Linked DNA regions of Saccharomyces cerevisiae S288C. The gene in region 1 interacts genetically with each later gene. Each region holds a gene or a part of one and is shown in the gene's direction. Other genes may lie near its edges.

Evidence for each region.
Region 2: mutations in FYV7 (region 1) and NOP6 together harm fitness more than expected from each alone (negative genetic interaction), as found in Saccharomyces cerevisiae (2 studies listed by BioGRID).
Region 3: mutations in FYV7 (region 1) and UTP30 together harm fitness more than expected from each alone (negative genetic interaction), as found in Saccharomyces cerevisiae (2 studies listed by BioGRID).

The regions. Positions count from the first base shown.
Region 1 is NC_001144.5:267,887-273,505, forward strand, and holds FYV7 (Fyv7p), read left to right. Parts: upstream 1-3,121; coding exon 3,122-3,577; downstream 3,578-5,619. Other genes in the region: PET309 (Pet309p), read right to left, coding at 1-2,824; MEF1 (Mef1p), read right to left, coding at 3,744-5,619.
Region 2 is NC_001136.10:74,572-83,174, reverse strand, and holds NOP6 (Nop6p), read left to right. Parts: upstream 1-5,208; coding exon 5,209-5,886; downstream 5,887-8,603. Other genes in the region: YDL211C (uncharacterized protein), read left to right, coding at 2,763-3,881; SHR3 (Shr3p), read right to left, coding at 4,117-4,749; serine/threonine protein kinase PRR2, read left to right, coding at 6,630-8,603. UniProt on the Saccharomyces cerevisiae protein: Predicted to be involved in rRNA processing.
Region 3 is NC_001143.9:554,683-563,476, forward strand, and holds UTP30 (Utp30p), read left to right. Parts: upstream 1-1,835; coding exon 1,836-2,660; downstream 2,661-8,794. Other genes in the region: TIF1 (translation initiation factor eIF4A), read left to right, coding at 305-1,492; mannosyltransferase KTR2, read left to right, coding at 2,995-4,272; transcription factor TFIIE subunit TFA2, read left to right, coding at 4,984-5,970; rRNA-processing protein LAS1, read right to left, coding at 6,107-7,615; OAF3 (Oaf3p), read left to right, coding at 7,865-8,794. UniProt on the Saccharomyces cerevisiae protein: Involved in rRNA-processing and ribosome biosynthesis.

The DNA.
Region 1 (5,619 bases):
TCTGTTCCCATTTATTGATCTTGCTTCTTGGCATTAATAAGTAATCTTTCATAAAATACTTGTAATTTGATATGAAGTCACGTACCTGATCTTCTAAAGTTTTTAAATCATCAATACCGTCCAAATATGTGTCTAACTGCCTCATTATACTGTTATATGTATCGCTTTTTAAGTATAGTCTGGGCTGAAATTTATTGGGCTCTTTTTCCTTCATTTTTAATGTTGGCCAAGATTTATCACTGGACTGCGTCTTATCCTCGGATAGTTTCGTTAATAGTCTAAATTTATGGATCAAATTATACCCATGAATTAGTGTGTCATCAACGATTTTCATACCATACGAAAGGGTTCTTGGATCCTTAAATAACGCTTCTACAGCGCTGTTCCACGATATATTATCTAAAATAAAACCTTTTTCTCGCAATTTCTTCCACAGTAATGGCAGCTCATCGATTTTATTCATTGCAATCAACTGACTTACTTTATAAGGGAACAATCCGCTGAATATGCTTCTTAGTTTAATATTTGGCGTTGTAGATGATGGCAAGTTTTCAATGTTTTCAATACGATCCATGTATTTAGCGAAAAGTGTTTCGAAATCTTTCCATTGTTCAATTTGAGCTAGTAATACCAACAATGATCTCATCATCACAAATTTATTATTATTTGATATCCAATCATGCTTTTTGAAGAAAAGCTCATTGTACCGGTTGTATAACTCTAAAGCCCGCTGTGGGCTATCATGTTTCACAATCATTCTCATTGGCCATGCCATGACCGAGGGATGCAGTTTGTTATACGTAACGTCGAGAGTTCCATTGGCAGCATTTTCCATGATGTCTTCTACCATATTAATCGTTTCCTTGATTTCCTCATTATTTTGTAGGCTTTTTTTGGCAACGGCCTTCAATATATAATATAAAATTTTGGAATTCGCTGGTACCTTATTCTGTGACATTGTCTTGTACAAGTTAATTATACCGTCACGATAACCCTCTTTGTCATATGCCTCCATTATTATTTCAAAATGTGTAGCGTCCACCTTGATTACAGAATGTTTTATTAGTTGATCTATGATGCTCAATGCCGTTTCGCAATCTTCGTTCAGTGTAACTAAAAATTTTATCATCATCTTGTAAAATTCACTGTTTACAGCCAGTTTTGAGGTTGTGATCTTGTCGAAAAGTTCTTCACACTTGTTGGCATTTCGTAAACCAATATAAGCTTTGATGGCTTTGTTATACACTGAAATTAGACCATCTCTCCAAGATAAATTCTTTGAATGTTTTTCAAATAATGCTATTGCCTCTGTTGGCCTGTTACTCTCAATATATACATCCATCAATGCAGAGATACTTTTTCCAGTGTGTTGGATATTATAATGTTCAGTCATAAGGTTGAATAATTCTTGAGCGATTAAATGGTTCGTAGTTTTGCAACACATTTGTATCAATAAAGCAAAGTGCCCCTCCGTGATTTCCACGCTAGGATCCTCGCTTAGTCTTTTTAATATCCTAAACGCACCATCAAGGTCATTTAAACCACGATACACTTTAAGCATTATGGTATGCGTTGCTGTTGAAGGCGTTATGTCGTATTTCTTGAATAGTTCGAAGTGGCTAAAACAGGCTGCGAAATCTCCGACTTTATAATGTGCATATAGTAAAGATTGTAAAACAGCGTATGTCGGTATCATACCTCTCCTCAATAACTGTGTATATAGTTTATTGACACTATCCAATTCACCAATTCTGGCCATAGTATACATCAAAATACCATAATGTTGTATGGAAGGTAGCTTACCGATACCGAAAAGAGCATTGAACTGTTGTTGTAAGGCGTCCCAATTATGCAGCCTAGAATGAGCCACCAAAAGATAATCAAATTGGTTTTGGTCGTGCTGAGCATCAGGGTATTTCCAATATGTTGACGAAACCAAATTAAACTTCTGCATGTGACAATACGTCTTTAGAATACACGTCAGGTCAGAACTCACTATCGGCAGGTTATGTTCGCACTTGTAATTCCAAACTGCTTCTGCAGAAGAAAATTTCCTAATATAAGTTAATAAGAACAACAACGTAGTTGCAAATTGAGACGCTATTGCGGGCCCTTGCGTTAGCTGAATTGCTTTCAAATAAGATAAATAATCGGGGCGAACATTTGATTGCCTCATGAATGATAAAAAGTTTCTCAAAACTATCTTGTTCTCCATATAATTCGTAAATTCACAATGTCCATTCACTAGTTTCATCCATTTGACCCATTTATATACAGCTTCTTCATGCATATTCATTATAACCATCCTAGAGAAAATCGAGTTAATGAGGTCTATCACCATTGTCTTTTGTGTTAATAGAAACCGTTGTATGATATCAGAGATTGCCTGATCTAATTGAATACCTCTTTGTAAAATCAATAAAGAGAGAAGGAACTTTTTCAATTCAGGTAATGAGGCATCCTGTTTTAACAATCTTTGTGAACCAATAGTGGTATAAAGAAACTTCTGTGCAATTTTTATAACGTTCCCATAGGCCTGGTGCCGATAAAGATACTTTATAAGGTACTGTCGTTCAAATGTTGTGGTAGCTGAATTACTTGTTATTGATGTTGTTGCTTTCTTTGTTAATCCACTGCCAACCGACTTTAGAGGAACACTTCCGCGCGCCATAAAATATGAGACCAGGTTTCTCTCATCCTGTGAGCATAATGGTGACGTCGATTTATCTCGAAGCAGCTTCCTTATATGATCAGGTACGCCGGTACTCCATATACCCTTCTTATAATTATAATTTCTTAATACGGCAGGAGCACACCTTTTCATAATGGCCAAAAAGCGTGTTTCAGTATACTCCAACACCCTTAATCACTTAAATTCGAAGCTTTGTACACTATTGCGGCCTCTTTCCTGGGTATCGAGGCTGCGTTAGCGTCACCTAGAAATCCCACTTTAACTTACACTACATGATTTTTTATTTTTATTTCTCTATTGGCCCGAAAAGTTACTTTTCCTTCAAACAATGAAAAATTTCAAAATCAAACCTCATCGCGATAGTATTAAAAGTGCTTTCACAAGAATGATACAGGAAGGTGGTCAAGTAAGCAACTGAGCAAAATCAATATGGGTACAGCCAAGCAAAATCAAAATAGAAAGAAGTTTACGAGGGAGTATAAGGTTAAGGAGATCCAAAGAAGTATTACAAAGAAAACTAGACTGAGAAAGGAATACCTTAAAGCTTTAAAAGATGAAGGGTATGCCGTACCAGAAAAGGAACCAAAAACCGTGGCAAAAGAATCTGTAAGGAAGATTAAGGAAGCCAGGGCAATAGAGGGAAAGAAGAAACTAGACGAGAAGAAGGAGATCAAGAAACAAAGAAAGAGAATGCAAAAAGATGAATTAAACAAGCAAAGAAACGAGCAATTGGAAAGAATCAGAGTTTCGAAGGAAAAATTTCAGAGGAGAGAAGATAGAAAGAAGAAATTGACTCAAAGAACAAGGACAGGCCAGCCCTTGATGGGCCCTAAGATAGAGGATCTTTTGGATAAAATTAAGACGGATGATACTTATACCTCCTAGATAATGATATTCTTCAAAATTTCTTTTCATTCGTGTATTTACAGAAAGATCTTTTTATTTAAATTTACTTAATTAGTGTGTATATTAATTTTATTTCCTGCCTTTTGTTAATTCCTTTTTATTGGAATTTGTTATTTACAAGACTGTTTTGCCCATGAGGACTTGACTATTTCTTCGCTTGCTTCTTTTGGAACTCAGATATCAATTCTTTTTGAACATGGGGCGCTGTTGGAGCGTAATGACTAAACTCTAATGAAAACTCACCTTTACCTTGAGTCGAGGCTCTTAATGAGGTGGCGAAACCGAACATCGTGCTCAAGGCACATTCTGCTTTTAATGTAAATTCATCATGACCATTTTCGGTATCCTGTATTACTGCTTGTAATTTATTCAATAAACCGATGACGTTACCTTGAAACTCGTTTGGCGATGTTACTGAAACATTCATGATAGGTTCCATGATCACCGGCTGTGCCCTCAGGAAGGCGTCACGGAAGGCTGACATAGTAGCTGTTTTGAATGATAATTCATTAGAATCCACGGCATGAATAGCACCATCATTGATTAGCATTTTAACATCCAAAACACGATGACCGATCAATGGTCCCTTTTCACATACTTCTTCAAAACCCTTACCACATGCAGCCAAATACTTGTCCGGTATACGGCCACCAACAATAGCGGTCTCGAATATGTTGCCTTTGGTAATGTCATCCACGGGAGATAAGGTACCGATAACTCTACCATATTGACCAGCGCCACCAGATTGTTTTTTATGTGTATAATCAAAATCTGCCGGGATGGTGATAGATTCTCTATAGGAAACCTGCGGTTTACCCGTGACACAGTCCACATTATATTCACGTCTCATTCTTTCAACGTAAATCTCCAGATGCAATTCACCCATCCCAGAAATAATTGTTTCTTTAGATTCAGGATCGAACTTCACTCTGAATGTAGGGTCTTCCTTTTGAAATCTGTTCAAAGCCTTCGAAAAATTCGATGCGTCCTTTGAATTTGGCGTAATCGATAACGAGACAACAGCATCTGGAACATACATGGATGACATAGAGTATTGAACGCTACCATCAGTGAATGTATCTCCAGAAGCACAGTCAATACCAAAAGTAGCGCAAATTTCACCTGAGCCAACTTCATCAACATCTTCCATCTCACTAGAATGCATCCTGACCAATCTTGCAACCTTCACTTTTTTACCAGTCTTTACATTTGTAATGTAATTACCTTTTCTTAAACGCCCCTGATATACGCGAACATAAGTCAATTGACCATATTTGCCTTCTTCCAATTTGAATGCCAATCCAACAAATGGCTGTTGCACCGCAGGAACTAAGTTAACCTTGGCTTCGTTGTTGCTCACATCTAGAGCTGTATTCAACACTTCAGAGGGATTAGGTAAGTAGTCTACAATAGCGTCCAAAACGGGCTGAATACCAGTATTTGCCAGTGCGGATCCCATCAAAACTGGTGTAAAAGACCTAGCAATTGTAGATCTGCGAATAGCATCTTTAATTTGTTGCGTGGTAGGCTCCTTTTCTTCCAAAAACATTTCTGCCATTTCATCATCCACATCAGCAAGTGTTTCGATCAAAAGTTGTCTTTTTTCCTCCATTAATGGCTTCAAATTTTCAGGCACTGGCCCTTTTTCTATAATTTCACCATTATCACCCTTGTTGTAAATAGCAACTCTATTAATCAAATCAACGACACCAGATAAGCTTGATTCCGATCCGATAGGAATTTGTACAGCAGCAGCAGGTATTTTTAGTTTCGAATTAAGTTGTTCTATTGCACGGAAGGGATCTGAACCCATACGATCCATTTTGTTGATGAAAGTTACTCTTGGAACATTATATCTACGCATTTGACGATCCACGGTCACAGTTTGGGATTGAACACCTGAAACAGCACAAACAACAAGAACTGCACCGTCTAGTACTCTAAGAGCACGCTCCACTTCGATAGTGAAATCAATATGACCTGGAGTGTCGATCAAGTTGAAATGATAGTTTTTGCCCTCT
Region 2 (8,603 bases), on another chromosome or scaffold:
CGAAAGTGCTACTAAAAGGTACCTCAGCAATGGATTTCTGTTTCCAGACTGTTTTGAAAGTACAGGCCATTCATTATAATGACTGCGGTTTATTCAAGGCAAACCATCCGACATGCCTCAAGAGTTACTGGAAAATGAGGTGGTCTCCTTGTTATACAGAGACTGACTATTGCTTCGTCTCAAGCTTTGTAAAAGGTACCCACCCTTCTTGAAGTCACCAGAGTTAAAACCAACCTCTTGGTTTCGAGAGGTTGAAGTCTCTCAAAATGTAACATTTAACTATAACATCAGTCGTATGTTATTACTGGATGAAAGATACTGGTATCACTGCTCTTTGCTTCGCATGCTGTCACAAATTGTCGTTGTGAGCTCTCTTAGTTATTTGAATTAGTGATAAGATATTCACATATCTTACTTGCTTCTTCTTACATCAAAGAAAAAACATAAGCATGATAAATAAAAAATGCAAGATCCGCTCTCAAATTCTTTACAACGAATTCTTTGTTTAGACTAAACGATAAAGAAATTCTTCTGCAAACATAATCAAAGAAACTGTGCAGGAAATGAGAACGGCAAGAAAAATATTGGTGGTGCAGTTATGGACTGACTATCCGTATTCCGACATCAAAATGATACCGTACTTAGTAGATTTGCGCCATTCAAAATTAATACGTACCTGGGCTCCACCGCCACAAATTCCCGCGACGTTTATCTCTCCCCTATGCAGCATTAATATCTTCTAAAAAAAAAAAAAATTTACAAAACACCTAATCCAATCATTTCACCAGATTACCGAAGCGTTTGCGTTAAATGTCCTGCTACGGCAATCGACAAAGTAGACCCACTCTATTACTACTGTTTGTTTGGTACTTAAATTGCTTTTTGTTAGCGAAGAGATATCGACGATGCACACGTTATTGATAAACATCATATACGCAAAGCTTCGAATTAAAAACATATTCTTGAGAACAGGTAAATTCCTTGAGCATAAATCATCAAAAAAAGAAAATAAATTCTGGAAGCGGATTAAGTGTGTGATCTCATAGAACTGCCTTAAAAATCTTGAAGCCAGTCAAATTTTCCATAAATCCTTGGGTTCTACTCATGTAATCAAAGCGAGGATAGCCCACAACTTTCACAAGTTCGATTTCGCCAACAAATAAAACAGCTTAACTGCTTTGCTATGTTTCCTCAACAATCGAACTGGCTGACGAGTAGAAGTCTGGCATTATGTGGAATCACTCACTGCACCAGCTATCTCTCCAGTTACTAGTTGTATTCTCTGTCAGCAGTCGAAATGACTTTTTTAATATCAATATGGCAAAAAAGTAATACACACTGTTAAGAAGTTAACAAACATAGTAAATAGTGTTTCTCAAAGTGAAGCCATTTTTGAAAAATCCAGTTCACTATAAATCCACTGTGCCAGTAGAACAGTTGCAAGAGTCCCAGTCCATAATAAAACGCTGGGAATGATTCCAGGCGTTGACTTGAACACAATTGCCAAATTTACTCAGATGGGCTGAGCCCGTAACAAATAACGTCAACAGGCCAGTAAAGGTTAGGATCCGGGGTGTAACTAATTTGAGAAAGAAAATGTCACTATTTTGCGCACAATAATCACAAAAGAATAGCAAATTCAGCTCTTTGGCTACCTTCTTCTTTTTTTTGTCCAAAAACATGGAAACATACTATGATTACCATTTTGTACCGACGAAGATACAAATGACACCAAAATCTTCGTCAGAAAACACTAGGTTATCGCGCAAAAATTTCTAGAAGTATGGTACCAGAATATTGCACTACTTAGCCGGGCCACATAGTAAATTTTTCTCAACACCAGGTACTGGAGTTAACACTAGGAACCGAAAAGCCAGTTTTTTTTCTTTCTTAGATATGATCGAGATAGGTTTAAAGAATTAATGTTTGAGCAGATTAATGCCCGACCTTTGTCATGTATTGTTTGATATCTTCAACGGGATGTCGGACATTATGTCAAGTCAGATACCATACAGAAATCTCTATCGCTAGCTCGTAGGCAAAAGGTGAACGGCAATATCTAGTAAAGACTCTTTAAACAAAATAGTAATTATTATGGCAGAGATGAACCATTCACATAGGAACAGGAACAGCCAATGGATTTTTCATTATTCTGAAACCACAATTAATTCATGATTTTGTTTCGGTGCATTTATTCTTTCATTAATGAAATTCCCATGCTAACTTATGTATCGTTTTTGCAGTGCAAGCATCCTCCTTGACAACGCATTAAATATGCCTTAGTAATCCATTAAAAATACTGTTTTCATTCTTCCACAATATTACACCTGCTAGATTCAAATACAGGCTATGAGGAAGTGAAGCCAAAGATCGAAACGTGGAGAAGGGTCCGTAGTTATCTCTTCTTTGTTCAAAGTTAAGAAAAAGCTACCGGTTTACCGATATCACTGGACGATGGAAGAAGAATGCAGCAGCTCAAGTACATATTTTACAAAAAAAAGAGTATATTAGTTCATTATATTAATTTCACTAACCGCATCAAACTAGGAGATATCAACCGTATTGTATGTTACCTTGGGCGGGCGCTCTAAAAATACGTGAAAGATTTCGCGTCAGAGAAATTTCTCATAGATTAAACGTAAACAAAATTCAGATGGTTCTGCTCGAGATAATAAAGTAATTCATAGAACGTTAAGATTTATTTTTACATCCTCAAAAGGCGCGAGGCATCTTGATAATTCTTTCTATTGCGATACTTCGCCATGCTACTAAATGTAACGTCTTCGCAATACATAAGCACACCTCAATCCAGAAGTCTGAGTGAAATTGACACGTCAGAAACCGCCAGCTTATCATCAGCTACAGACCACATTTTTGCATTATCCACTGAGGTTGTATCCTCAATTACGACGAACCTCATTGAGGGTTTAGAAAGTTCGATTCAGGTCCCCATATCAACCGCATATGGTACGACTTCCTTCCGCAACAACACTTCAAGTCCACAATATCTGGTTAGCAATTGCACTTCCTCTGTTCAAAGCAATATCACTATCGATAGAGGACTGTTAAGTACATTGAAGACTTTCACTACTTCACAGGTGCCAACCATAGAGCCTTCGACGACTAAACTAACAACACCATTATCTACAACATTTACCTCAACCTCTACATCGGAAATATACTCCGTATTCACCAGCGAGAACTCAGTTTATATCATCTATGACCAAGAATACAAATTTACAGAGCGATCGACAACATTTAACACCCACTTTCCCCAAACAACTGTGCTTCAAGAATCAAATCCTCCGTTAACTTTCACCATTCCATCCAATACCATTACCGGGGATGCTAAACTTTATCAATATCTATCTGGTGCACTAAACACTCAAGATACCTCAGATGCCAATAATAGAAGGACCGGAGTTATTGTCGGTTCTACGGTTGGAGTTGTCATTGGAGTTGTAATAGTAATTTTTATCGGATTCATAATTATTAGAAACAGACGAAACGTGAAAAATCACAGCAAAAAGGGCTTTAGCCATGATATTGGCAAGAGGGTAAGTTGTGATGAGGTAACAGAAACAGAAGCACCGTCAAATCCGTTCCTAAATGTCCTTAATTATAAAGTAACAACCAACGGCGAGGGCAAACGAGATTCCTTTGAAAATGGTAGAGATTTACACAGAGCTAGTTCCTCAGACGGTATATATATAGCACATCCTTATTATGGGATGGCGGATCACGAATCCGGGAGATTTTCATACGTATCGTCATACAATGAATCTGCGGAGTCATCCATTGAAGAAACAAGTTCCAGTGCGTCTACTATTACTCGGCCAAATATTCAGCAAACCAATAGCTTTTTGAGAGAAATTATTTAAAAATAGAAAAAAGTGGATTCCAAGATTTTCGTACTTCTAAACAAGGCTGGTACTTGTTGCTATTTCTTTGGAATTATTTGTAAATTTATGCACGAAGCAGATAGAGTTTTATTTATTCAACAGTATTTATATAATAAATATTGATCTTACTATACAACTAGATTCGTATAATCGTCTGTTTCGTCACAGACGGGAAAAGAGGGACAAAAAGAGAAAATGTTAAAAATATTATGGCCTATTTTTTGGCGTTCTTCCTCTTTTGAGCACCTTTAGATTTGTTATCATTCTTTTTCGCATTGTCAACTTTCTCAGTCTTTTTACCGGCATTGGCAGCTTCTCTTTCTTCTTGAGCATAAAACTCCTTTAATCTTTTTTGCAAATCCCAGTTACTGTACCACAAACCAATTTGTAGGATGATAACACCGGCAAACATAACTAATAAAATTATGTTGGAGGAAGCAATAACTGCCAAACCCTGATTTTCCGTAACTTCTCCCCAATTATGGCTCACAGAACAGTCGATACCTGTTTTCACATTAGTGAGAAACACACAGATAGCCAACACGTACAACCCCAATGAACAATACTCAAACATCTGCAGTTCAGGGTTTGGCTTGAAAACCTTAATTGTACCACCAACTAAGCCAATACCGGCAACAACGCACAAAGTAACAATCACCGGCAATGGAGTCTCATGTAAAATTTGGTAATGTCTCAGTGCCAAATCGAAATGCTCTTGAGTAGAGTTAGGATTAAATAAAAGATGATAATCGTATGGCATGTTACTGAAGAAAACACCCATTAGGAACGTTGTGGCCGATAAGATCATGGCCGTACCGATAGAACAGAAATCTGAATATGAGAACATCGTTAGAGTTTTATCGTATCACGGGATTTTATGCTCTGTAGTCCAATGAATTTACGGCTGTCTTCCAAAATACTTAAATCTGTCCTTTCATCAACTTTTTATATTTTTCAGAGTTTTTACACAACCCGAAAAAATTGTTATCGTGTATTAATTTTAGTACATTATAAAAAAAGATGGAGAGGGAAAGAGCCACCAATTACATTGGCGAAAGGTGATGGTGTAAAGTAACGGCAACCAAAAACAATTATGGATGGAAAACTTGGTATGAGAGTACTATTATTACGAACTCCACATTAACTCGATTCACCAAGTCCTTTCCCCATACGTTTACCCGGCATTCCTGAAAATTTTCTAAGATTTTTTTCTTCTTAATCGATGAGCTTAAAAGGTTTTCTGAGAAAATGAGAAAGTAATCTAATGTAGAGGACAGGATAGAGATTGAAGACGTCTACAGCTAAAATGGGGTCCGAGGAAGATAAAAAGTTGACCAAGAAGCAGCTCAAAGCTCAGCAGTTTAGAAAAAGTAAGGAGGAAAAAGATCAAGAGAAAGACGTAAAAAAAGAGCAAGCACCAGAAGGAAAAAGACCCAACAGTGCAGCCGGAAATGATGGTGAAGAACCCGTGAAGAAAAAAAGAAAAACACGTAGAGGCCGTGGTGGTAAGGGCAAAAATGGTAAAAAGGGCAACAGATTTATTGTCTTTGTCGGTAGCTTACCTAGAGACATCACTGCTGTTGAATTGCAAAACCATTTTAAAAATAGTTCACCCGACCAGATCCGCCTCAGAGCTGACAAAGGTATTGCATTTTTGGAATTCGATGCTGACAAAGATCGCACCGGCATTCAAAGACGTATGGACATTGCCTTATTACAACATGGGACCTTACTGAAAGAGAAGAAGATCAATGTCGAGCTAACTGTTGGCGGAGGTGGTAACAGTCAAGAGCGTCTAGAAAAATTGAAAAACAAAAACATCAAGTTGGATGAAGAACGTAAAGAGAGGTTGACAAAGATGATTAACGACGGCAACCAAAAGAAAATCGCCAAAACTACCGCCACTGCAGCTCAAACCTCTGGAACAGACAACAAGCCTGTTCCTGCAGGAATTCATCCTGATAGAGCCAAACTACTTAAATGAGTACAAATTTAATTTTATACGCCATGTATCTTAGACAAAAAGAAAATAAAGGGAAAAACATAAATAATCGTGCAGAATCATGCTACTGCCAAAAAAAGAAATGGCAAAGATGCCCAATACGTAAACTCTTCCGGAAGCAATAGCGCCGCATTATTACCGCTGCTCTATTTCACTTTATCATGAAAGACGAGACGGCTGGTACTTTTTTTTCCCCAAATCGGAGCTACTTTTCCGCACTTCAAGTCCGGTGGGAATTTTTACTACTACCCCTTAATCAATGCACTCCCCCCGCAATGACGTACAGGGGTAACATGTCTAACATTTAAGGTTACGGCTGTTAGCATATTGGGGGTTATTTGAATTATAGGAACGCCAAGAAAAAGGACAGAGGGTAAAAACATTCTCGGTGCTGCCGGATTGCTTATTAAGACGTATCCGTTAAACAATCTCCGCTTTTTTTTTTGTCTAACAGCCGGCTCTCTTTGGCTAGTCTCCATCCCTTCGTCACCTTCGGCTGTGGTCACACAATAAGGAAAGGTGCAAAAAAAAAAAATAAATACGAAAATCTGGAAATTGAATTCTTTTCATTAACATTCATTCACTCACTGAACTTATTGTCAATCGGAACATATTTCCTTGCCTTTATGAATTTTTGAAAAGAAAAAAGTTAATAGGAAAAACTAGATAGATTGCAAAAACGTTCACAATAGCGTACGTAATCCTTTTACTTATCATACGGAGTGATGTCGTTGTCTAGAATCCTGCGATATAATCAGAGAAATAACAAAACTACAGCTTCCTTGACTGCAGAACACGCCTATTCCGATAATTGGGCATATTCCGTCTCGTTAGGCGATCCCACTAGTGTTGGTGTGAATATGGCTGCTAAGACGGGTGAGGCGCTAAATAAATCATATGATTCCGTTTTTTCTTCTCTCCCTGTTGCAGATAGTGTACCTCGGACAGACTTTACTGCATCTTCCCGGGATGATGAAAACACGGACGTGCAAAAGCTGACCACTTCCTGGATGGAGAAAATTGACACGAAGATGCCCGAAAACATATCTAAAATCGACTCTAATATTATTTCCTCTCCCATGGTCAGTAAGGTTGAAGCAAGATTTATTGTTCCTAAAGGAAGATTGAGGAAAAATTCTACCGATTTTACGTCATCTTTCTCAAACTCGTTAAGTTTACCCAAAAGTTATGGCAAATTAATTTTCTTTACATCAAAGAAAAACAGCAGTAGTACCAAAAAAAATCTAGCGAATGATATCAGTGATAACAAGCATAACAACAATTCTTCTAATACTATCGGTCACAATATTCCAGTCACGACAGCCACGGCGACATGTGATGAGATTGCATGCACCTCCACAGAACATGAATATAATGTTTATGAGGAAGAGAGGATGTTCACTACTCGTGTATATTCTCTAGAAGATTCGGTCTCTTCACTGTCCACGAATCCTCTCGACGACACGTATTCAGAAGCAGTGCAAGTAAATACAAGACATATCGAGGACACTGAAAGCACGGCCCATATAAGAAAACACTCCTATACTACGTCATTGTCAAGTATCAAAAGGCTCTTCAAAATAACGTCTTTTAGCAATAACAACAGTAACTCATGCGATCACCAGGAAAGCACAGTTGCAGATGATTGCGCTATATCATCATCATTGAAGGAAACAACTTCTTCGCCAGTCTCAACTGGATCATTCTCTCTCATGATCGAGAATGAAGACAGCGATAGAGATCAGATTATTCAGGCTTTATATAGTAATATTGAAGCATCCACTGACTTGGTTTCCAGGAAATATAGAGATCTCGACGTTGTTCTCGGCGAAGGTTCTGGTGGTAAAGTGAAACTGGTCCAAAGGGTCCTGGATAATAAAGTTTTTGCATTAAAGGAATACAGGTCAAAGAAAAAAAGGGAATCTGAGAGAAAATACATCAAGAACATAATTTCTGAATATTGTATTGCCTCCACATTGAAGAACCCAAATATTTGTGAAACATTGGAAATACTGTATGAGAAAGGTAAAATTTTCCAAATTCTCGAGTATTGCGAATATGATTTATTTTCTTTGGTTATGAGTGAAAAGATGCATTACGAGGAAATATGCTGTCTTTTTAAACAGCTGATCAACGGCGTAAAATATTTGCACGACATCGGTCTCTCTCATCGTGATTTGAAGCTAGACAACTGCGTTGTAACACGAAGGGGAATCTTGAAATTGATTGATTTTGGCGCTTCCAGTGTCTTCCACTATCCATTGTCTTCACAGATGATTGAAGCAAATGGAATTGTTGGTAGCGACCCCTACTTGTCACCCGAAGTCTTTTATTTCAATGAGTACGATCCAAGAGCACTTGACGTTTGGTCCGTGGGGATAATATTCTTTTGTATGATAACGAGAAGATTTCCTTGGAAATATCCCAAAGTGAAAGATGTTCAATTCAAGGCATTTTGTTCCGGAAGAGGTGTGTCATCTTTTAAAGATCTTGTGACACGGCCTGCTACCGATGACAGCAATAATTATGATAATGATGGCTACGAAGAAGGAGTCATTGATATGGGTCCCAATTTCATTCTGCACAGACTACCAGAAGAAACTCACAAAATAATGAGGCGTATACTGGAAGTTTCACCTTTCAGAAGAATTACCATAAACGGAATATTACAAGATGGCTGGATCAAAGAAATAGAAACG
Region 3 (8,794 bases), on another chromosome or scaffold:
CAAAAATGCATAACTATTCTATATACATTCAAACTCGAAATTTACTTTAAAGGTTTATCAGCAACAACATCCGATGCTTGCTGTTTATCTTTTCTCACCTCACAACGTTTATAGTGACTGAAAAATTTTTGCATTCTCACCTCGTCTATTGAATGATGTGCTAAGAACTTGAGCTAACATCACAGAACAAAGGTATGAATATACGCAGCCCTGACATTTGTAGATTTTTTATTTGGTCTCTAGTCTTTTCTTTTCTTATTTTATAACAAATTCGTTAAACGGCCTCCTTCTAATTATATACAAGATGTCTGAAGGTATTACTGATATTGAAGAATCCCAAATTCAAACCAACTATGACAAGGTTGTCTACAAGTTCGATGATATGGAATTGGACGAAAACTTGTTAAGAGGTGTTTTCGGTTACGGTTTCGAAGAACCATCTGCCATTCAACAACGTGCCATCATGCCTATTATTGAAGGTCACGATGTCTTGGCTCAAGCTCAATCTGGTACTGGTAAGACCGGTACCTTTTCCATTGCTGCTTTGCAAAGAATTGACACCTCTGTCAAGGCTCCTCAAGCTTTGATGTTGGCTCCAACTAGAGAATTGGCTTTGCAAATCCAAAAGGTTGTCATGGCTTTGGCTTTCCACATGGACATCAAGGTCCACGCTTGTATCGGTGGTACTTCCTTTGTTGAAGACGCTGAAGGTTTGAGAGATGCTCAAATCGTCGTTGGTACTCCAGGTCGTGTTTTTGACAACATCCAAAGACGTAGATTCAGAACTGACAAGATCAAGATGTTCATCTTAGATGAAGCTGATGAAATGTTGTCTTCTGGTTTCAAGGAACAAATCTACCAAATTTTCACCTTACTTCCACCAACCACTCAAGTTGTTCTATTGTCCGCCACCATGCCAAATGACGTCTTGGAAGTTACCACCAAATTTATGAGAAACCCAGTTAGAATTTTGGTTAAGAAGGATGAATTGACTTTGGAAGGTATCAAACAATTCTACGTTAATGTTGAAGAAGAAGAATACAAATACGAGTGTTTGACCGATTTATACGACTCTATCTCCGTTACTCAAGCTGTCATCTTCTGTAACACCAGAAGAAAGGTCGAAGAATTGACCACTAAGTTAAGAAACGACAAATTTACCGTTTCTGCCATCTACTCTGATTTACCACAACAAGAAAGAGACACCATCATGAAGGAATTCAGAAGTGGTTCTTCCAGAATTTTGATCTCCACTGATTTGTTGGCTAGAGGTATCGATGTCCAACAAGTTTCTTTGGTTATTAACTACGACTTACCAGCTAACAAAGAAAACTATATTCACAGAATCGGTAGAGGTGGTCGTTTCGGTAGAAAGGGTGTTGCCATCAACTTTGTTACTAACGAAGACGTTGGCGCTATGAGAGAACTAGAAAAGTTCTACTCCACTCAAATTGAAGAATTGCCATCCGACATCGCTACTTTGTTGAACTAAGGGAGACAAAAACTTCTTAAAAAAGTATCTTGTGAGGCTATCTTGATAACGTAACATATATTTCTAAAAAGTTATATATGCTTTTTGTATTTAATTTGTTTTTCTTTTTACATTCCTATTATTCTTCAAAGTCCAAAAGACTCTCGGCACGAAGGTTGAAATACCCTATACTAATTGTTTGCTTTGTCTTTTTGTATATATCCGAACGTATCTATCTGAAATTTTTCAAATTTATAAAAAATAATATATATAAAAGGAAAAAAAAAAAAATCGATGCCCTACTAATAGAGATTGGAGCTGAAAAGAAAAAGTGTACATCAAACGCTATATCTCGAGGTTTGGGATGGTTGAGTCAAATGATATTATAAAAAGTGGGCTGGCAGAGAAAGCACTAAAGGCTCTAATTTTACAATGTGAAGAGAACCCATCTTTAAAAAATGATAAGGACATACACATAATCATCAACACGGGCAAAAAAATGGGCATAAACAGGGACAACATCCCCCGTATTATTCCATTAACAAAGTACAAGCTATTTAAACCAAGGGACCTAAACATATTACTCATTACCAAGGATCCCTCTGCCTTGTATAGAGAAACTTTGACGAAAGACGAGCATACGTCGGAATTATTCAAGGAAATTATAAGTGTCAAGAACTTGAGACGTAGATTCAAAGGGAGTAAACTGACCCAACTTTATAAAGATTTTGACTTGGTCGTTGCCGATTACAGAGTTCACCACTTACTTCCGGAGGTTCTTGGTAGCAGATTTTATCACGGTAGTAAAAAATTGCCATACATGATCCGCATGTCGAAAGAAGTAAAATTGAAGCGTCAACAAATGGTCGAAAAATGTGACCCCATTTACGTGAGAGCACAATTGAGAAGTATATGTAAGAATACCTCATACATTCCCAATAATGACAACTGCTTAAGCGTCAGGGTCGGTTATATTCAAAAACACTCCATACCAGAAATTTTGCAAAACATCCAAGATACAATAAACTTTCTCACTGATAAAAGTAAGAGACCGCAAGGCGGCGTCATTAAAGGAGGAATAATATCTATATTTGTCAAGACCAGTAACAGTACTAGTTTGCCTATATATCAGTTTTCAGAGGCTAGAGAAAATCAGAAAAATGAAGATCTGAGTGATATTAAATTGTAAAATTAAAGCATCATCTTTTAAATACGGTATTTAAACACTCCCAATGAAAAAGCGTGATTTTGTCTAACTAATTATAGCATTAATAAAGTGTTTTAAACTTTAATTCCTTTCAAGAATTTGCAAGATTATAGAAATTTAGTAAGCGAAAAAAAAAAAGAAAAAAAAAAGAACAGACACCCTATAAAAATAGAATAAACATAATAAGCCACCATTTGCCTGTCTGATGATATTCTTGATTCTTTATATCTCTTCAGGTATGTGACACCTATACATGCAACGCTTTTTTTGCGTTTTTTCTATACAATAGTTGTTTATTTAAAAGCGTAGGAGCTTCATGCAAATCTGCAAGGTATTTCTTACACAGGTTAAAAAACTACTTTTTGTTAGTCTTCTATTTTGCTTGATAGCTCAAACATGTTGGCTTGCACTTGTACCATATCAGAGACAGCTGAGCCTAGATTCGTATTTTTTTAGAAGATCTCGAGAAGTTTCATCGAGATATGATTTTACAAGGAGGCGACATATGAATCAGACGCTGAAGCTATCTAGCAACACTTATAATGATGAACCACTAAACAAGACCAAGGGAATAAAAAATCAAAGAGAAAATGCTACATTGTTAATGCTTGTGCGTAATTGGGAACTTTCGGGGGCACTCCGTTCCATGAGATCACTAGAAGACCGTTTCAATAAAAACTACCAGTATGACTGGACATTTCTTAATGATGTCCCATTTGATCAAGAGTTCATCGAAGCCACCACAGCCATGGCTAGTGGTAGAACGCAATACGCTTTAATCCCTGCGGAGGACTGGAACAGGCCATCTTGGATCAACGAAACTCTATTTGAAGAGGCTTTACAATTAATGGAGGAAAAAAATATCTTGTACGGTGGGTCAAAGTCATATAGAAATATGTGCCGATTTAATTCTGGATTTTTCTTTAGACAAAAGATATTAGATCCGTACGATTTTTATTTCAGAGTTGAGCCAGATGTAGAGTATTTTTGCGATTTTCCCTACGATCCATTCAAGGTGATGAGGCAGAACAATAAGAAATATGGCTTTGTGATAACTATGTATGAATACGAAGATACAATTCCGAGCCTATGGGAAGCTGTAGAAGAATATCTCGAAGAAACAGAGTCAGCAGATATTGACATGGAAAGCAACGCTTTCGGGTTCGTATCAAATTTCGACTTCATCGGTAAATCTTTTGGTGTCATCGATAGTAACAGCGGCTATAATTTATGTCATTTTTGGACAAATTTTGAAATTGGCGATTTGAACTTTTTCAGAAGTGAGAAATACATTAGATTTTTCGAGTACTTGGATTCAAAGGGCGGTTTTTACTATGAAAGGTGGGGAGATGCACCAGTTCATTCGATTGCTGCCTCACTTCTTTTGAAAAAAGACGAAATCATCCATTTTGATGAATTAGGCTATAAGCATATGCCTTTTGGCACGTGTCCATCTGCATACTACCTGAGACTTCAACAAAGATGTCTTTGTGATAGCAATCACCCAGACAATATTGATCTCAATGTCATCAGCTGCCTGAGAAGATGGTGGAAGGACGGCAGCGGTAAATACTTCCTCAAACACGATTCATAGCGAGAAAAGCGTGTATCCGCATACTATAAATACGTATATATAACAAAGTAACCATCAAGAAAGATGTTCCATACCTCAGGTCATCACCATTTCATGGGTCGCTTAACCGAAAATATCAGAAGCAACCTCTAACGGCGATGGTTTTAAAGATGGATTACCTCAGCACCAACAGTTACACTATTCGGAACCGAAGATTTATCTACGATACTCATTATCCTTTCTCTATCTCACCCTGAAATAATTTATTAAAAATAAACTATGCCAAAGAAGAGAAAAGAGAAAAATTTAAAAAAAACGAGAGCCATTGCAACAGTTTTGGAAGTAAGAATAGGTTGAAAATTAGTCAAAAAGACAAATCCGGCTCCTATAAACCATCAAACAATAGGCTCCCTAAAGCATCACAAATTGTTATGCTTTCTTTTAAGAGAAATGTTTTTTAAAGCATCAAAGGTCCAGGGCAAGAAAAATTCTTTCTGGTAGCAAATGCTATAGTTCACGGCTTTTATAGTCAAAATGTTATATGCGAGAAGAAAAAGAAAAGCGCGAGCTTACTTCGGGTAAGAAGTTCACTTACGAATCAGGGCAAAAGAGCTAATAAGAAGTGAACTAGTTACATAACCGTGTGCTCTGTAGAACACGAGAAAGCTGTTACACAGAACTGTTTTATACCAAGTAGTTCGTTCGATTTGGAAAAGAGAGTAGTCTTTTGCGATGAGTAAAAACAGGGACCCTCTACTGGCTAATTTGAACGCTTTCAAAAGCAAAGTGAAGTCTGCCCCGGTGATCGCACCCGCTAAAGTTGGACAGAAGAAGACCAATGACACAGTGATTACTATAGATGGAAACACTAGGAAGAGGACGGCCTCCGAACGTGCGCAAGAAAACACTTTGAACTCTGCGAAAAATCCTGTGTTAGTGGATATCAAGAAAGAAGCTGGGAGCAATAGCTCTAATGCTATTTCATTAGATGACGACGATGACGACGAAGATTTTGGTAGCTCTCCTTCAAAAAAAGTAAGGCCTGGCTCTATTGCTGCAGCCGCTTTACAAGCAAATCAAACAGATATTTCCAAGAGTCACGATTCTTCAAAGTTGCTTTGGGCGACTGAATACATTCAAAAGAAAGGTAAGCCCGTTTTGGTGAATGAGTTATTGGACTACTTGTCAATGAAAAAAGATGACAAGGTTATTGAGCTTTTAAAAAAATTAGATAGAATAGAGTTTGACCCCAAGAAGGGGACTTTCAAATACCTTTCCACCTACGATGTCCATTCCCCTTCGGAACTGCTGAAGTTGTTACGTTCACAAGTAACATTCAAAGGTATTTCCTGCAAAGACTTGAAAGACGGTTGGCCACAATGCGATGAAACGATTAACCAACTGGAGGAAGACAGCAAAATTTTGGTGTTAAGAACTAAAAAGGATAAAACTCCAAGATACGTTTGGTATAACAGCGGTGGTAACTTGAAATGTATTGACGAGGAGTTTGTTAAAATGTGGGAAAATGTGCAATTACCGCAATTTGCAGAATTGCCAAGAAAGCTGCAAGATTTAGGTCTAAAGCCTGCTAGTGTCGATCCTGCTACTATCAAAAGACAAACAAAGAGAGTTGAAGTTAAAAAGAAGAGACAAAGAAAGGGTAAGATTACTAACACTCATATGACCGGTATCTTGAAAGATTATTCCCATAGAGTATGAGGTTGTTTTGATTAAATCATTTTCGTTTGCATATTAGGTTAAAGAGACTGTGATTATATATACATGCACGTTAGGGTGCAGCATACAACTCAGCTTTATAGTCTACAACGTATTTATAACGAGCATTGGAAACAGGTTACAGGACACCAAAGGGTTTGGGTTTCCAATTTTGAACCCTTGACCAATTTTTTACTGGTGTAGCTCTGTTCTCCTCTTGTTTATTTTTTTTACCTACTGTTCCGAAACTGCTCATTCTCTGTTTCAAAGACGCCAAATCGCCTAGTATATCATTGGTATCAGCCTTTAATGCCGGACTCACTTCCTTCTTCAATGGAACGGAATCTTTTTCCGCAGGAATAAAATCATACAGCTTTATTTCACCTTCATTAAACCTTAATGATAAATTGTCTATGTTTTCCTTCAGTTTTGCCTCGATTTCCACTGTGCTATCAATTTGTTTTCTCCGTTTTTTGTTTCTCCATGAGTTACCAGTAATTTTTTCAGTCTCTAGTTTGGCCAGCATAGATTGGCAAAAATACAATATCAAGTATGACGCATTTTCATCAATAAGTTTCTCCCAATTTTGCCATTTATTTTTAAAATTTTTATTGTTAAGGTTATTTATAATAACATCTAACAGCCTTTTTTGTAGTTCTTTCCAGGCATTGAATTTCCTTTTTAAAATTGTCGTTATATTACTATCATCTTGTTGGGTTCTGTAATTCCTAGCTACCCACTCAATGACCTTCCAATCAAAATTGTTCAAATTAAGCATTAAAACTTTGAGTAAAAGTGGGTCATAATTGTTAAAAAATTTCTCAAGAACCACATTGTGATAAATGGATAATTTCCAAAGTTCTTGCCATTGACGCAAATTTTCCCTGATCATAGTTTCTGATGAACTTGCGTGTGAACTTTTCCTCTTTTCGGCATCATAGTTCACCAAATTATCCCCAGAAAAGTTACTACTTGTAATTAAACTATCGTTTGCATTCTCCCACACCCATTTGTATTCCAGAAACTCGTTTCTAAGTCGCTTCCATTTATCAAGTGTTTTAGTTAATGACTCCATATATTTCTCCAGTTTATCATTTCTTCTGTATCCGTAACCGGTATCATCATCATCGTCATCATCATCCCTGTCATCTTCTAATTCCTCATCGTTCCAGTAGTGATCATATAGCCAAGATAACGCTTCATTGGCGGCCCAACGAAGCATTTCTAATCCAGGTAAATCTCTCTCATGTGTACCCCAGTGTCTCAAATCAACAAACCAGGACGGCAGTCCAATTTTAGCAGCTAATGTGTGTAAGGGAATAGCGAACTGAGATTGTTGCGTTGGATCCAATAAGCCATTGACAAACCGAATCAAAGCCATTACATACGATAACCGGATAGGAATAGAATCCTGATGTACTCCTAAACACGCTTCCTTTTCGTCTAGCAATACCGCACATGTTATTTGTGCTGTAGAGTCCACCACGTGAGGTAAATATTGGGAACCCTTTAGTCGGTAGCTCTGTACTCTTTGCACTGCACGCTGTCGCTTATCTTCAATGGTTCCTTTGCTTTTCGGGTAAAACCAAAGTTTCAGCTCCTCTAGTTCAGCAAAATCCCTCCATGGAACGATTCGTGGTGGTATCATTAGATTGCCCTTTTTTCATTGCTTTCTAGAAATGACTTTTGTTTAAGCTAATTTAGGCATTCTTAGGTATTTTTTTCACTCTTTCTGCGACTGCGATGAGCTTATTAATCTTTCACATTCGGGTAATTTTTTGCATAACAATAAGTCATGAATTTATTGTTGCGATTTTGCAGTGTTATGAGTCTATGAAGAGAAGAAAGAAACTAGAAACCAATTGATACCAGACTTTAGTTGACAACTGATCTCATAATGGGATATGACTCCCAAGTTAGGACAAAAAAACGACATCGAATTACTGTAGTATGCACAAATTGCAAAAAAAGGAAAAGTAAGTGCGATCGAACGAAACCATGTGGAACATGTGTACGACTGGGAGATGTGGACAGCTGTGTCTATCTCACCGATAGCTCTGGACAACCTGAAAGCAGTCCTTCATTGAATGATGCTGACCCTCTGAGGAAACAATCAACTCCTGCGGAACGAATAAGTCCAGGTTTCATTAAGAAAAGAAGATCGTCACAGACAAGACAAGACGAAGATCACTGGCAAAGAGTACGAGAACTTGAAAATCAATCATCACTTTATTATCTACCAATTCATGAAGAAACTCCATTTTTTATTGACCTCATCCCTAATGGGTTTTATTTAGAGACCAAAAGGTCTGCTGATAATTTATTTGGTCTGTTCACGGATAGAGCAATTGAAAATCGCGACCCCTATCTCCAAGCAATGGTAACATTTAGAAGTATCGCAATCAAAAAAATGATGGATAAATTGGGAAGCAACGGCAATAATGTGAAAAATGGAAGCTTGCCTAAATCTTTCGAAGCTTTATCCACTTTCGATGCTGATGACGAACGCCACATTAGCGATGATGTTGTTGGTAAGGGCAATAACTTCCGCATGCATCAGACTATTCACAAATCATTGTTTAACAAATTCGCTCAATACAGAGAAAATAATGCTAAAAAATTCAGCTCAGAAACTATATTAGCAAAGGATTATTTGCCTCCTTTAAAAATACTTGAAAGTGAGGTTTTAGCACTTTTTGAAGAAAAAATTTACAATATGATACCGATTTTCGATATGAAAGTTTTGCGTCATGAAATAACGATATTTTATCAAAATATAGTCGAGAAAGGGAATCCAATTTCTATAAAACACTACGATCATATGGTT